3 linked regions of the Oryzias latipes genome follow. The protein of the gene in region 1 purifies or fractionates together with the protein of each later gene. This does not show direct contact. Links are inferred from orthologs where the notes say so. Each region holds a gene or a part of one and is shown in the gene's direction. Other genes may lie near its edges.

Region 1 (3,650 bases):
GACCAACTCCGATCGTCCTTTGATGTATTCCCAAAGCTTTCCCAGTGCTCTTTAATTATGATTATGCCTTTATTAGTCAAAATCAAACAACCTTGTCTTTTTTTCTGCAGAGTGGCAGTAGTTCATCTTTTTTCTTCGATCTTTTTTCAAATCTAAATTTCTTTTGTCTCCTCCTGATTCACGACTTCAATACAGAAATATTTTTGGACTATAAGTCGTTCGGAGTATAGGTGGCAGACGCCAAACAATGTATAATAAAAAAGAAAAAAAATACTTTGTAAGTCGCACTATTGGGAAAAATTCAAATTCAATCTGCTGCTTACAGTTTATTACCACAGAATAAAAAACATGCTAACAAATCAACAAAACTCTTTTATTTCCCTTTTTAATAACTCAATCCGTTGAATTCTTCACAGTCTGCGACACTTTTAAACAAATCCGCCAGGGCCGGCGCTTCTTCTGCTGTGTTACTGTCTGTTGCAAAGACTGACACACCCACCTACAGCGCCCTCTGGCGGTTTTTAGTGGGAAAATAACGAATATGAACCTATTATGATTTTTTAAAATCACATATAAGTCACACCTGGGTATAAGTCGCTCCCTCGGCCAAACTATGCAAAACGCGACTTATACTGCAAAAACGACGACACTTGTCATCAGAAAAGTGCCCCAAAAACATGTTAAAAACACCAAAAACAGGATTTTCATCAGAGTGGGGCCTTTAAATCGACTCTGAACATCAGAATCTCTGCAATGCAAAGCAAATCCAACTGTGACTTTCAACTTAGTCCGTGTCTATCCGGCATCTGGGCTGGAAAAAGTTTGGTTCCAGCTTTTCTAGCTTGCTTTCCAGGTTATGTTTGTTTTTTGTGCCTCAGCAAAACAGACACAAATCTCTGTCATTGTGCCTGCAGATATTTCAAGTGGGGCTAAGAATACCAGAACTAATGTTGGTAATGTCACGAAGGTGCAAGGTTCTGTGATCCACACTCTGACACCCTAACGGATGAGGCCTTGTGTGTATTAATAGGTCCCTCCGTGGGAACGCACTGCAGGAGAGCTTTCTCTGTCATCTGCAGGAACCCGAGAGACGCTGATCTCTCAATCAGTGGGCGTTTGAAATGCTGAGGCGCCTTTGCTTTCTGCCTGCAGGTGAACATGACGTCAGACCTGGAGGGGAGCGACTTGCTGGCGGAGAAGGCCGACAGGAGGGAGTTCATCGACTTGTTAACCAAGATGCTGACCATCGACGCCGACAAAAGGATCACCCCCATCGAAACGCTCAACCACCCTTTTGTTACCATGTCGCATCTGCTCGATTTCCCACACAGCACACAGTACGTTGCTCAGCCGCCGCTCCCGCCGCCGTTTGTGTACCGGTGATCATCGGTCCTGCGGGCGGAGAGCATCTGCTGCCGACGCTCACGCCTTCTTCCTCTTCTGTCCGTGCAGCGTCAAGTCCTGCTTCCAGAACATGGAGATCTGCAAGCGCCGGGTCAACATGTACGACACGGTCAACCAGAGCAAGACCCCCTTTATCACCCACGTGGCCCCCAGCACTTCCACCAACCTCACCATGACCTTCAACAACCAGCTGAACACTGTGCACAGCCAGGTTAGCGGCTTAGGCTGATACCATGAGGTTTCATGCATTTTCTCTGTGGGTTACAATGAAATTATTCCTCTGTGAAGCATTGGAAACAAGCTGGAAAATTAGAGGATGTATATAAGACCAGAAAACTTTCAAAGTAAAAGCACAAAAGGCTGCAAACAGTCATCTTAAAAAATCAGAAAGCAGGAAAATGATCTCTCCATGCAGCAATTTTGACTTAACAAGAAATCATATAAATAAAAATCTATAGAAATTCCACACAAGCATTCCAAAAGGGAAAATATGCACAAAAAAGCTGTTAAAATTTCTTCAAACTGAATGTTTTACAGCTCAATTCCTATTTTTTTTGCTACTTATAAGCAAATAGTTTGTAATTTTTGAGTTTTTACGAACCGAATTGTATTTCATTTTGATTACAGTGACACACAACTAGTGTAATAAGTGGAAATGTCTCATTTTATGAAAAAAACTACACCAAAAAGAGAATCTTAGTACAAGTTGGTCCATCTTAATAAATCCTTATCAAATCTAAAGCTAGCACTTCTTCTAAGAAAATAAATCTACATTTTTGTTTCCAAAATAATGGCAGTCTAACTTTTATTGGGCTTCAAAATAACTTCCTTTAAATTCAACCAAATTGAGTTTCTTGAGTCCTAAAGCAAGTTTTTGTGTTGTCAAAGGTGCTTTATTTTAACAATAATCCTTTTGTCTCTTAATGAGACAAACATTTCTCCAATGTGCTGATTTTGAATGAAGCTTGGAAAGATGTATAGCAAGGAGAGGTTAAAAAGAGCTTCACACCTGCTCAAATATCTTGATTGTCTAAAAACAAAGTTTGAAGTCTTTATCGAATAGTTTGCAGTCAAAGCAGAAACATGCCGTTCTTTTAGCAGATTTGCAGCTTTCCAGGGCTTCCTTCTAACTTTCTGTACCCATTTTTCTAGCTTGCCTTCACATTTTCAGGCTTACTGCCACGTCTCAGCATGTGTGTGTCTGTCTGCCTGCATTTGTGTCTGTGGCCCAGCTCCTGTGGGATTGTCACAAAGTGCTGATTACACACATGACAAACCCCACTTCCTGCTTGCCTTGCATTCTGGGGCTTTCAGGCCTTAAGAATCCCTCCATGAGGCTTTTTTTCCCCCTCCTCTGTCTCAGTCCTGTCCTTTTCTGCCCCCCCCCCCCTTTCTTTTTTCTCCTTTTACCGTTACCGGGTTCTGCGGGTCTAGAATCTCTCTGTTTCCTAAGTGAGTTGCTGACGTTTTTCTGGAATCGCCGATCGTCTGATGGCGAGGCTCTCCGTCTCTTTTTTTTACCCCGTTAAGGCCTCCGTCACCGGCTGAGCCGTCTTACCCGGCAACAAGACCATCTCGCTATGATCTGCATGGATCAACGTCCCAGCAGCCTGTCTCGCTGGAGTCGTTCCCCTTTAAGTTGGCGATTTATTAAGACGATAGGAAACCATCTTTTGGTGCTTCTGTGCTTGTGGATGCACCTCTCTTCGTATCTATTCCCCCCTCCCTTATGCAAACTTTAAAAAAAAGGGAGTTAAACTTAGCGTCCGTCTACGTGGAAAGCTACCAAGTTGCTTATGGATGTCGCAAAAATCTCAGTTGCGTAAGATTGACATAATAGTTGCGTATAAATGACGTAAAATACGCATAAACTGGGTCATTCTCAACCAACCAAAACTTCTGAACAAAACCGAATTGACATAAAAACCCGTCGGCTGAAACCCTCGCTGGACATCGATGAATGATGAACGCAAGAAACATTTATGACTTACGCATAAATCACCACAGACCATCATTTCATAATCACAAAATGTACACAGTGGCTGTGTGACACAGCCTTTACATCAGCTTGGATCTTCTTTAAGTTTTCGAGGTTTGTCAGGTAATCTGATTACTATTTCCGTGACGTTGCAGGAGACTTTTGGTTTTTCTTTGAGGTTAGTTGTTGTCACTGAAATATTATTAGTTTGGTGAACATCTGACTTTTTATTTTGTTGCAGTTTCTTTTTGTTTTGTTGTGTTTTTTA
Region 2 (4,355 bases), on another chromosome or scaffold:
TTGAATATGTTTTAAATGTGCCGTCATATGGGAGTTTTTGGTGTAAATAGACATTCCTGACTTCTCCACTCGTTGTTTTCAGGATCTGATGAGGCTGCTAAACCCAACAAGGCAAGTTCACTCATTTATTTACGTAAATGTTAACAGTCTTTCACTCTTGTGAATAACATCTGTTATTTCTCTCACAACAGGATAAGTGATGACAAAGCAGACGTTTGTCACTAAATCATCAAGGTGTCTCATACTTCTGATGGGGTTTCATGTGCAGCTGTCCAGCTCTTTGGTGCCTTTGGTTGATTGGTTGCTGGTTTGGACCGTACCATTTTTACAGAAAATTATTTGACCACCCCTTTCTTTTAATGTTCTTATCTTGAAAGCATGACATCATAAAAACCGAAAGAACGCTTCAAGTTTCACTTTGGGGATTTCTAAACTGTGACTGGAGGCTGTGTTTTGTTTTGTTTTTTGAGAAATATGTTTCACTGAAGATGCAAAACAACTGTCCTAATTAATAAAGTAAAGCACGTTTGTAAATAGGAAGCCCAGAATATTTGTACATTGTATTACAATTAATGAATGTCTGTCTTTTTTTGTGTGTTTGTCAAAGTTCTGCTGAAATGTTGACAAAATTGTTGTAAAAATTCCAAAAATAAAAGGTTGTAAGAAGTCATTTTAATTGTGCTTTATCTGTCCATTTCTAAACGTTTATTATACTTGATGGCGTGGTTCTCCAAGTTAACTCTTCTTACATTTGGACATAATATGCATCATGATTAACCATGTTTTAACCAGCTCAGTGGCCTTGTGGTAGAGTGTCTGCCCTATGACTGGAACGTCGTAAATTCAAATCTAGGCCGAGTCATACCACAGACTCTAAAAATTGACACTCAGCATTAAGGGGGTGAATCCAATCCAGTTCCTGTGTACGGTTGTGTCTGCTGCTCACAGTCAAATGCAGAGAACAAATGTGTGACATGTAATGGTATTAACCAGGTTTAAAAATCACTTTATTATGCCCTACAAATGAGGAGTCTGAATGCAAGAAAATAATCTAGAATAGAGGAAATTTAAAGCTAAAACAACTGCAGCTTACGTAGGCAGCTAAATAATAGACATACTTTTATTACATCTTTTAGAAAAAACAGCTGCAACTTCCAGCTTTTTCTGCCACAATCATCACAAAAATGCATGTGAGATTGCGGAGGGACTGTACATCATGCAGACTATGAGTTGGATGCTGATGTGCCGCGGGATTTTTGTCAAGGATAAAGCGTGCTTTGGCTCTAAAAAGGTTGAAAAACACTGATCTAGAGCGCTCAGACACTCTGCAGTTCACTGTTTTTTCCACTAAATGTCTGTTTTGTTGGAGAGTGTACTCACAAATCGTAACGGAAGATCCGTAGAAGAAGACGTAGTGTTGTTGTCTTCCACTCTGGCCAATAGCAGACATTTTTACTGGATCTTTATTCTTTCCACCAATGAGAGGCCTTGGCATTGGTCTGAGTGTCGCGGGCACATTTTCGGTTTCTAGCAGTTCGTGGAGCTAAATTTACGAGATCTAAATTAGCCAAAAGACTTTGCTATCCTAAAAAACGCATCCATGAAGTATTAATAACTTTAATCTGTTAGTTAAATAACCAGGAAATCATGCCGTTTTTCCTATATTCCGTTTGGATTTACAAGAAAAGTTACAGTAGCTGCTCTGTTGCTAATCTTAGCTTAAAAACTGCTGTGCGTTCCTGAAGAGCAACATTTACGTTTCTATTGTTCCTGAATAAAAGGTGAGTGTTTTAATAATATGCACCCAGTCGTGTTTTCTCAGAATTATAAGCACCGTATCTGCCATGTTTTGTGATCAGTTTTTACAAAATTTCCTTTTGTTTTCACTTTAGATTAAGTTCTGTTGAATATTCGCCTTCATTTTTTTTCGTTGACCAGAAAACTACGAGAGAGACAGACTCAGGATGTAAAAGTAAACAGGAAAAAATTTTGGTAATTAAAGTTGATGTAAATCAGATAAGGCTACTAGACAGATTTTTTTTAATGTTGAATAATCAAAAGCAAAATAGACATCAGTGCTATTTGTCGTCGAGCCATTTCATTTTTGCATTCCGAGCATTTTCGTCTTAAAAATAAGTCTAATTTGTGTCGATCAGGCAACAGAAAAGTGCCATTTCTTTGTCTGCATCTCGGTATTTTCAGGTCAGCATTGCAGCCGTGTGGACGATTATTATTGCAGTGTTTTTATCTTTTTGGATCTTTAATAATCCTGTTTCACTGTGAGACGTTTTTGTCCACATTCTCACCAGATACCGTGTTGTGTATCTTTCTCTCTCAGCATCTCAGTACATCATGACCCATGCGTTGAGATTTTCATCTGTAAAATATATAACTAGCTTTGTGGCAATACAGTCCAATCCTTTAATGAATAAAATCTAGATTTTTATTATTCATTTGACATTTAGAACTATAAATTCAACAGCTTCCACGATTCAAACCTGCATTTAGGGCCTTCTAGACTGTTCTGTTCTTTATGGTTAAAACATCTCATATTCATTTATTCATACATTGTTAGAGGTGCTGGGAAAAAGGAGGGCTAGTTTTGTGCACACAACATCCCACTTATTTATTGTGGTTCAGTTAGTTTTCATTGATAGAAGCAGGCTTGTGATTGGACGTCTTGTGTTTTGGTCACTCGTGAAAAGGGCAAAAACAGTAGAGTCCACACCACGAAGAGAAACTGACAACGTTTACCAGAAACAACGTTTTTTTATTCCTGATGAATTTTATACCTTTTTACCAACATAATCATGTGTTCATATCTGTGGTTTTCATTGGACAGACAACTGTGCTTCCATTCAGGCTCTATGGGTTTGTTTATAAACATTTAAAATAAAATAAGCCAATTAGTAATAGATTTTTTTATATAAATTGATTTTTTTGGACCCCTGATAAATTATTAGTTGCTGGTTTTTGTAACAAGGACTAAACAGTAGGAAATAAGTTGTGAAAAATGTTTTTCACCACTGACCCCCCAATATTTACTAATATATGAATAGATTTTTGAAATCAATAATCCTTCCACGTCTTGCTTCTGTACCTTTTGTCACGACCAGCGTGTTTTTCCTGTTTGCAGATTCACAGCAGAATCCGTCAGGGTTTAGATGGCGGTGGCTCCTGCCTCAATGGGAGATGAGATCATAGTTCTGGATGAAGACAACGAGGACAGCCCCCAGCCCTCTTTTTCCGCTACTACTCCCTCCTCTGATCATGGCTCCAGAAACGCCTTACCGCCCAAAGGTCAGCACTTGGTGGCCGTGCACGCCGCCATGTCCCCAAGTCACCAAGTCTCAGGGAAGAAGGAAGCTCAGGGTCTTCTAGCTGAGAATCAGAAACTGTTCTCTGAGGTGAGCTGCTTCAGGTTTTTACTGAGCCCACCCTCTCTTCTGTGGTCTTCTTCAACTTCTAAAATAAAGAATATTTTAACACCCAGCAGGTTTTTGTTTGTGCTAATATTGCTGATATCTACTGTTTTTTTCCTTAATATTTTGTGATAAAATATGTTTTTATGTGCTTCGGAATAGATTGTTAGAAACATTTAAGATGTTAAATTGTTGAAAGCTTTTACAGTTCATCTGTTTGACTTTCTCTGTGAGTCACAATTGAATCTTTTTCTGTTTTGTAAAAGTCTTATAAAGGTGTAATATGAAAGGTGTAATGATCTGCATGATTCATCTTCAGTGTTTGATTCTCTCGTGTCTTTCCTGTAGTTTGTGGAGCATTGCTCCGCTCAGACCAAGGAGTGCCCGGAGGTCCTGGAATACCTGCAGCTGAAACACTCCAAGACGTGTCCAGAGTTTCTGTCCTCTGTGGAGTTCAGGAACACTCTGAAAGGATGTCTAACTCGCGCTCAGAACAACCGCTCCAAAACCTTTGTCTTCATCAATGAACTGTGCACGGTGCTCAAACAGCACAGGGATAAAAGGAGACTGACCCTCTCCAAGGCGGCGCCCTCTACCTCAACATCAGCTTCTGTTCAGTCTACCTCCGTTCCCCCTAACAGTGAGAAGAGGAGTGACGAAGAGCAACCTTCTACTTCTGGAGTGCAGGAAGACAACAAAGAGCAAGATCAAAAAGAGGAAAAAAGAGCTAAAAGGGCCTCAAGGAAACAGGTCGGTACAGACAATAAACCTAAAAAAAAAAAGACAGTCAGTGTTAATCCTGTACTTGTTTTATTCCTGAAATCAGACGATGCCAGACTAAATATCTGGAGCACATGTCTCCCTCTCAGATCGCGTACCTGGAGAATCTCCTAAAGGTTTACAACGATGAGATCTTCCGTCTGCAGCAAACTG
Region 3 (4,133 bases), on another chromosome or scaffold:
AACTGTCCTTGGAGTAAAGTTCCGTTTGAGACAGGAAACTGCCAGTGACATGACTTGCCTTTCAAAATAAAAGCAACGATGTAGAAAACTTTTTCCAGAAGTCTAGCATGTGTTCTCTTGCAGTGACAGATAACAAGACACACCAAGATTTCCTTTTTTTTTTTTTAAATCACCAACCAATAGAGTGTTTTTACTGCAAGATGAGTTGTCATTTGTATAAGAAAGTCTGGAGTGATAGAGAAGTATGTTTGAGTTGTTCAGGACATCCATTAGAGCTGGAAGACATAAGACGTGCTGTATGTGTGACAGAAGAGTTCAAGCTGGAGGTGAGACTGCACCATCAGCTTTGAGCTCCTTCTTGTTTGCTGTGATGATGGATGGACAAACTGGCAGATAAGGAACCTCTATAGATCGTGATGTTTGCAGTTGACATCACGATCTGAGCAGAGAGCAGGTGGAGGAACATCTAGGAGATTTGTTCTGGAATGCAGAGGAATGAAGATCAGCTGCAGCAAGACAAAGTTGCTGCATTTAAATGAGAGGAATTTAAGCGGAATGTTTCAGGGAGCAGAGGTGAAAAATTGAGGACTTTAATGGCCACTTGTTGTGGTAATTAAGCCATTCATTAACATACCATGGTTTATAAACTTTACATTAATTGAATTATAAATTGTCTAGGAATACTTTTGACAGCAACAAATACAAGTTCCTTTCAAAACCAGCTGACAGTGCCACACCGTCACAAGGAGGTTCGATATTTGGTGTGGTATACGATATTTTTTTGGACAGAAAAAGCAACTAAAAGGGCTCAATCAAATTGGAATAATCTTACTTCCGGTTCATGTGTCAAAATTAAACATAGAAACAAGACTGCACATTCGTTAGAAAGTAAACATTGACGCTGCATCGTATAATAAACATAAAATTCATTAGGATATGTAGACAAGATGTTACAAGAAAAACAATCTTGAAGCCTGTAAACTGTATTTACCCCCTTATGGTCACAACTGCAGACAGTAATCAAGATTGACGTAACTACATAATTTCGCTTCCGGTAGACACGTTAAAAATAAAACTATTTTGAAACACAGCCTGACAGTGAGAAATACATAGCAAAAAAATTACGTAAATTTTATTTTAATTATAATTAAATTCATAAAACACATGTTTAATTTAACAACATAAACTCAAACGTTCTCACTAAAAGTTTTAATGAGTGCTCTTTAAAAACTCTCTTTTATTTTGAAAGTGTAACCAGGAAGTTCTTCATACGTCGGTTAGATGGTTCGCCATCAAGATCGTAACAAGCAATGCTACTCTTTGTTAAGTGAAGTGCTGTAAAATCTTGTTTTAGAACAAGATTTACGTTTTTAACAGTCAACCGTGCTTCTTTTGATGCTTTTCTATTATAGGAAAACGAGCCGGTAAAAGTTCGTCGCGGCGTTTTCTTATTTGACAGTAAGCTAGGGCTAGCGTGTTAGCTGCTCAGACAACAGCTCGTGAGGATGTCGCTTCACGGCAAAAGAAAAGAAATCTACAAGTACGAGGCGCCATGGACGGTGTACGCAATGAACTGGAGCGTTCGTCCGGATAAACGCTTTCGGCTGGCCCTCGGGAGCTTTGTGGAAGAGTATAACAACAAGGTGCGTAGCTTGTTTTATGTTTTGTTTTTTGAGTCAGCTAACCCTTCACGAACAAACGCGCTTGAATCAGTGCTATGCTAGCTCTGTACATGTTTAGAGTGGTATTGCAAAATGTTATTGCGTTTATTATCTTCGTAATAACGTCTCCATCGATGCTTAATGGTACCCCTTTTTTAATTTAATTTAATTAATTAATTAATTTATTTTTTATTAGAACGAATCGCTTTTATTTTTTTCTTGTCATCATATCTCTACTCAGGTTCAGTTGGTGGGTCTGGAAGAGGAGAGCTCCGAGTTTGTCTGCAGGAACACGTTTGATCACCCTTACCCCACCACCAAGATCATGTGGATCCCGGACACCAAAGGGGTCTACCCAGACCTGCTGGCCACCAGTGGAGACTATTTGCGCATTTGGAGGGTAGGATGTCAAACCCCGGTCACCTGCTGCGTCTGTCATGTTTTTGTTTGGGTCATCTCTTTGTAACTCGAGTACTTTTCACTTTGGGATTTTTTTTTACATCGGTGTGTTTGAAGGAACTTATACTTGTCATGCTTTACATTGCCGCATCGCTGCTTTATGTGTTAAAACTCTTTTATATTAAAGGGGATTTTCAGACCTGTAAGCATAATGTTACAATTATCAAATGAAACTTTATTTATAGGGCATTTTTCATACAACAGTGAGTGCTTTATAGACTTGAAACAATCAAAAAAATAAATAAATTATAAAATAGATTATAGAACACATTTAAACATAAAATTACATAAATACAATTCAAAATAGAGACAAAAGTGAAAGAAGTGAGGAAATTTTATTTTGAAATGAGATAGAACTGTAAGTAAGTAAAAGTAAACTAAATGTCTGGAGCATTTTTTTTTAAATAAAAAGGTGTATGTTACCTCTTTATTTTCTTTTAAAAAGCACAGCATTTGTATATATTTTTTTTAAATTTCCCTGAACTATAGCTATAATGCTGAACCACTATGACAAAGGCTCCATGTATGTAATGAAACCTGTCGTTATACTTTTTTTCCTCCCATTTCTAACTTTTGTGATGCCTCACAGTTTCTTTTAAAAGTATCATTTGGCAGGTTACATATATGCCTGTTAATTGGCTTCTAACATCAGTTTAAGTATTTTTTAAAAACACACGCAATGCTGTTTATTAGGCCTGGGCGAAAAATCGATTGAATGAATTAATTCGAATTTTTTGTTACGGGCGATTTCAAAAATAACTGAATCGAGTTTTTGTGTAATGGCGCATTTTTGGCTCCCCGGAGCTTCCGTAGCGTTAGTTTCACACGGCAATGTGGCAAGCGACAAACAACAACATCATAGCACACACGAAACAGCAAGCGACAACATGGCTTACTGCCACCGACGTGGAGGAAGAGCCCCCCCCCCCACGCTGCAACATTTGCCTAAAGCCCATCGCAGTCAAAGGCAACAGCACCACAAACCTATTCCAACACCTGGGGGAAACCTTTTATTACAGTTCTCCTTCAATCCGTAACTCCAAACATGAACGCCCCCCCCCCCAGCACGCTGTCACTCACTCTCGCGCGGCACGCGCTCATTCCTCTTACACACGCACGCAGTGCGCTGACACGCACACTCATTCTCCAACACCTATATGGTTAGTTCATTAGTTACTTCGTAGTTAGTTTTTACTGTTATTTGTTAATAAAGAATACTGCGTTGCAATTATGAATTACATTTATTTGTGTATTCATTTGCGATGCCGGATGTTGTGTTAGGCGGGGGGGTTGACCGCGACTCCTGCTGCTTCGTCAGCGCGGTGATCAAAAATCCCACACCGTGACAGCTCTAGTTTATATCTTGTGGGACACAGAAAAAATGCGACTTTTCCAGTACGGATAGCAGAACCGTTGAGGTCAGATCTTGAAGAATGTTGCTCTGGGGCTCGTTCAATACGGGGGCTCAGTACCCATCCCTAGGGGCACGGTGGAGAACAATCACTGAAGCGGTCGCTTTGCATACAGCCAAAGACATGGTACCCATATATACTGTGGAGAAAACGGGCTTTATTAATTCAATTAAAACCTTAGACCCCAGATATGAGCTGTATTGTTAATCCTTTAGAAATGGTGCTACTCTCAAGGTGTAAGTCTGACTTAAAACACAGCTGGGACTTTGATTCCCGGAGTGTGTTCATTTATTTATTATTCATCCCAGAAATGGGGGTTACATTTGTCTTGCGTTTGATTAAATAAATCAAAATTTGCTTTAAGTTTTCTGCCGTTTGTACTTATTGCTTTCCTTAGGTAGGGGGGAAAATCGGAAAAAATCAGAAATCAATTAAAAACATTTTTTTAGACCATATCGCCCAGCCCCAGTGTTTATACATGCTTATACCATGGTCTGAAAGAATACTTAATTCTGATTGGCTGCTGGGTGTGGATATATCATTTTCCTTTGCCGCTCCAGTCGAGGTCACAAGACAATTTGCAGCACAACGTAAGAAATAG

The links. The genes of interacting proteins can lie anywhere in the genome.
Region 2: the proteins of hipk2 (region 1) and death domain-associated protein 6 purify together in Homo sapiens (affinity purification with western blotting; 3 studies listed by BioGRID). This does not show direct contact. The link is inferred for Oryzias latipes from reciprocal best matches to the Homo sapiens genes HIPK2 and DAXX.
Region 3: the proteins of hipk2 (region 1) and dcaf7 purify together in Homo sapiens (affinity purification with western blotting; 3 studies listed by BioGRID and IntAct, with this or other methods). This does not show direct contact. The link is inferred for Oryzias latipes from reciprocal best matches to the Homo sapiens genes HIPK2 and DCAF7.

The regions. Positions count from the first base shown.
Region 1 is NC_019864.2:30,242,799-30,246,448, reverse strand, and holds part of hipk2 (homeodomain-interacting protein kinase 2), read left to right. Parts: intron 1-1,152; coding exon 1,153-1,337; intron 1,338-1,452; coding exon 1,453-1,615; intron 1,616-3,650.
Region 2 is NC_019869.2:16,001,061-16,005,415, forward strand, and holds the start of death domain-associated protein 6, read left to right. Parts: upstream 1-1,479; 5' UTR 1,480-1,781; intron 1,782-3,136; 5' UTR 3,137-3,164; coding exon 3,165-3,407; intron 3,408-3,770; coding exon 3,771-4,172; intron 4,173-4,291; coding exon 4,292-4,355. UniProt on the Homo sapiens protein: Transcription corepressor known to repress transcriptional potential of several sumoylated transcription factors. Down-regulates basal and activated transcription.
Region 3 is NC_019866.2:4,065,224-4,069,356, forward strand, and holds the start of dcaf7 (DDB1- and CUL4-associated factor 7), read left to right. Parts: upstream 1-1,257; 5' UTR 1,258-1,505; coding exon 1,506-1,643; intron 1,644-1,902; coding exon 1,903-2,061; intron 2,062-4,133. UniProt on the Homo sapiens protein: Involved in craniofacial development. Acts upstream of the EDN1 pathway and is required for formation of the upper jaw equivalent, the palatoquadrate. The activity required for EDN1 pathway function differs between the first and second arches.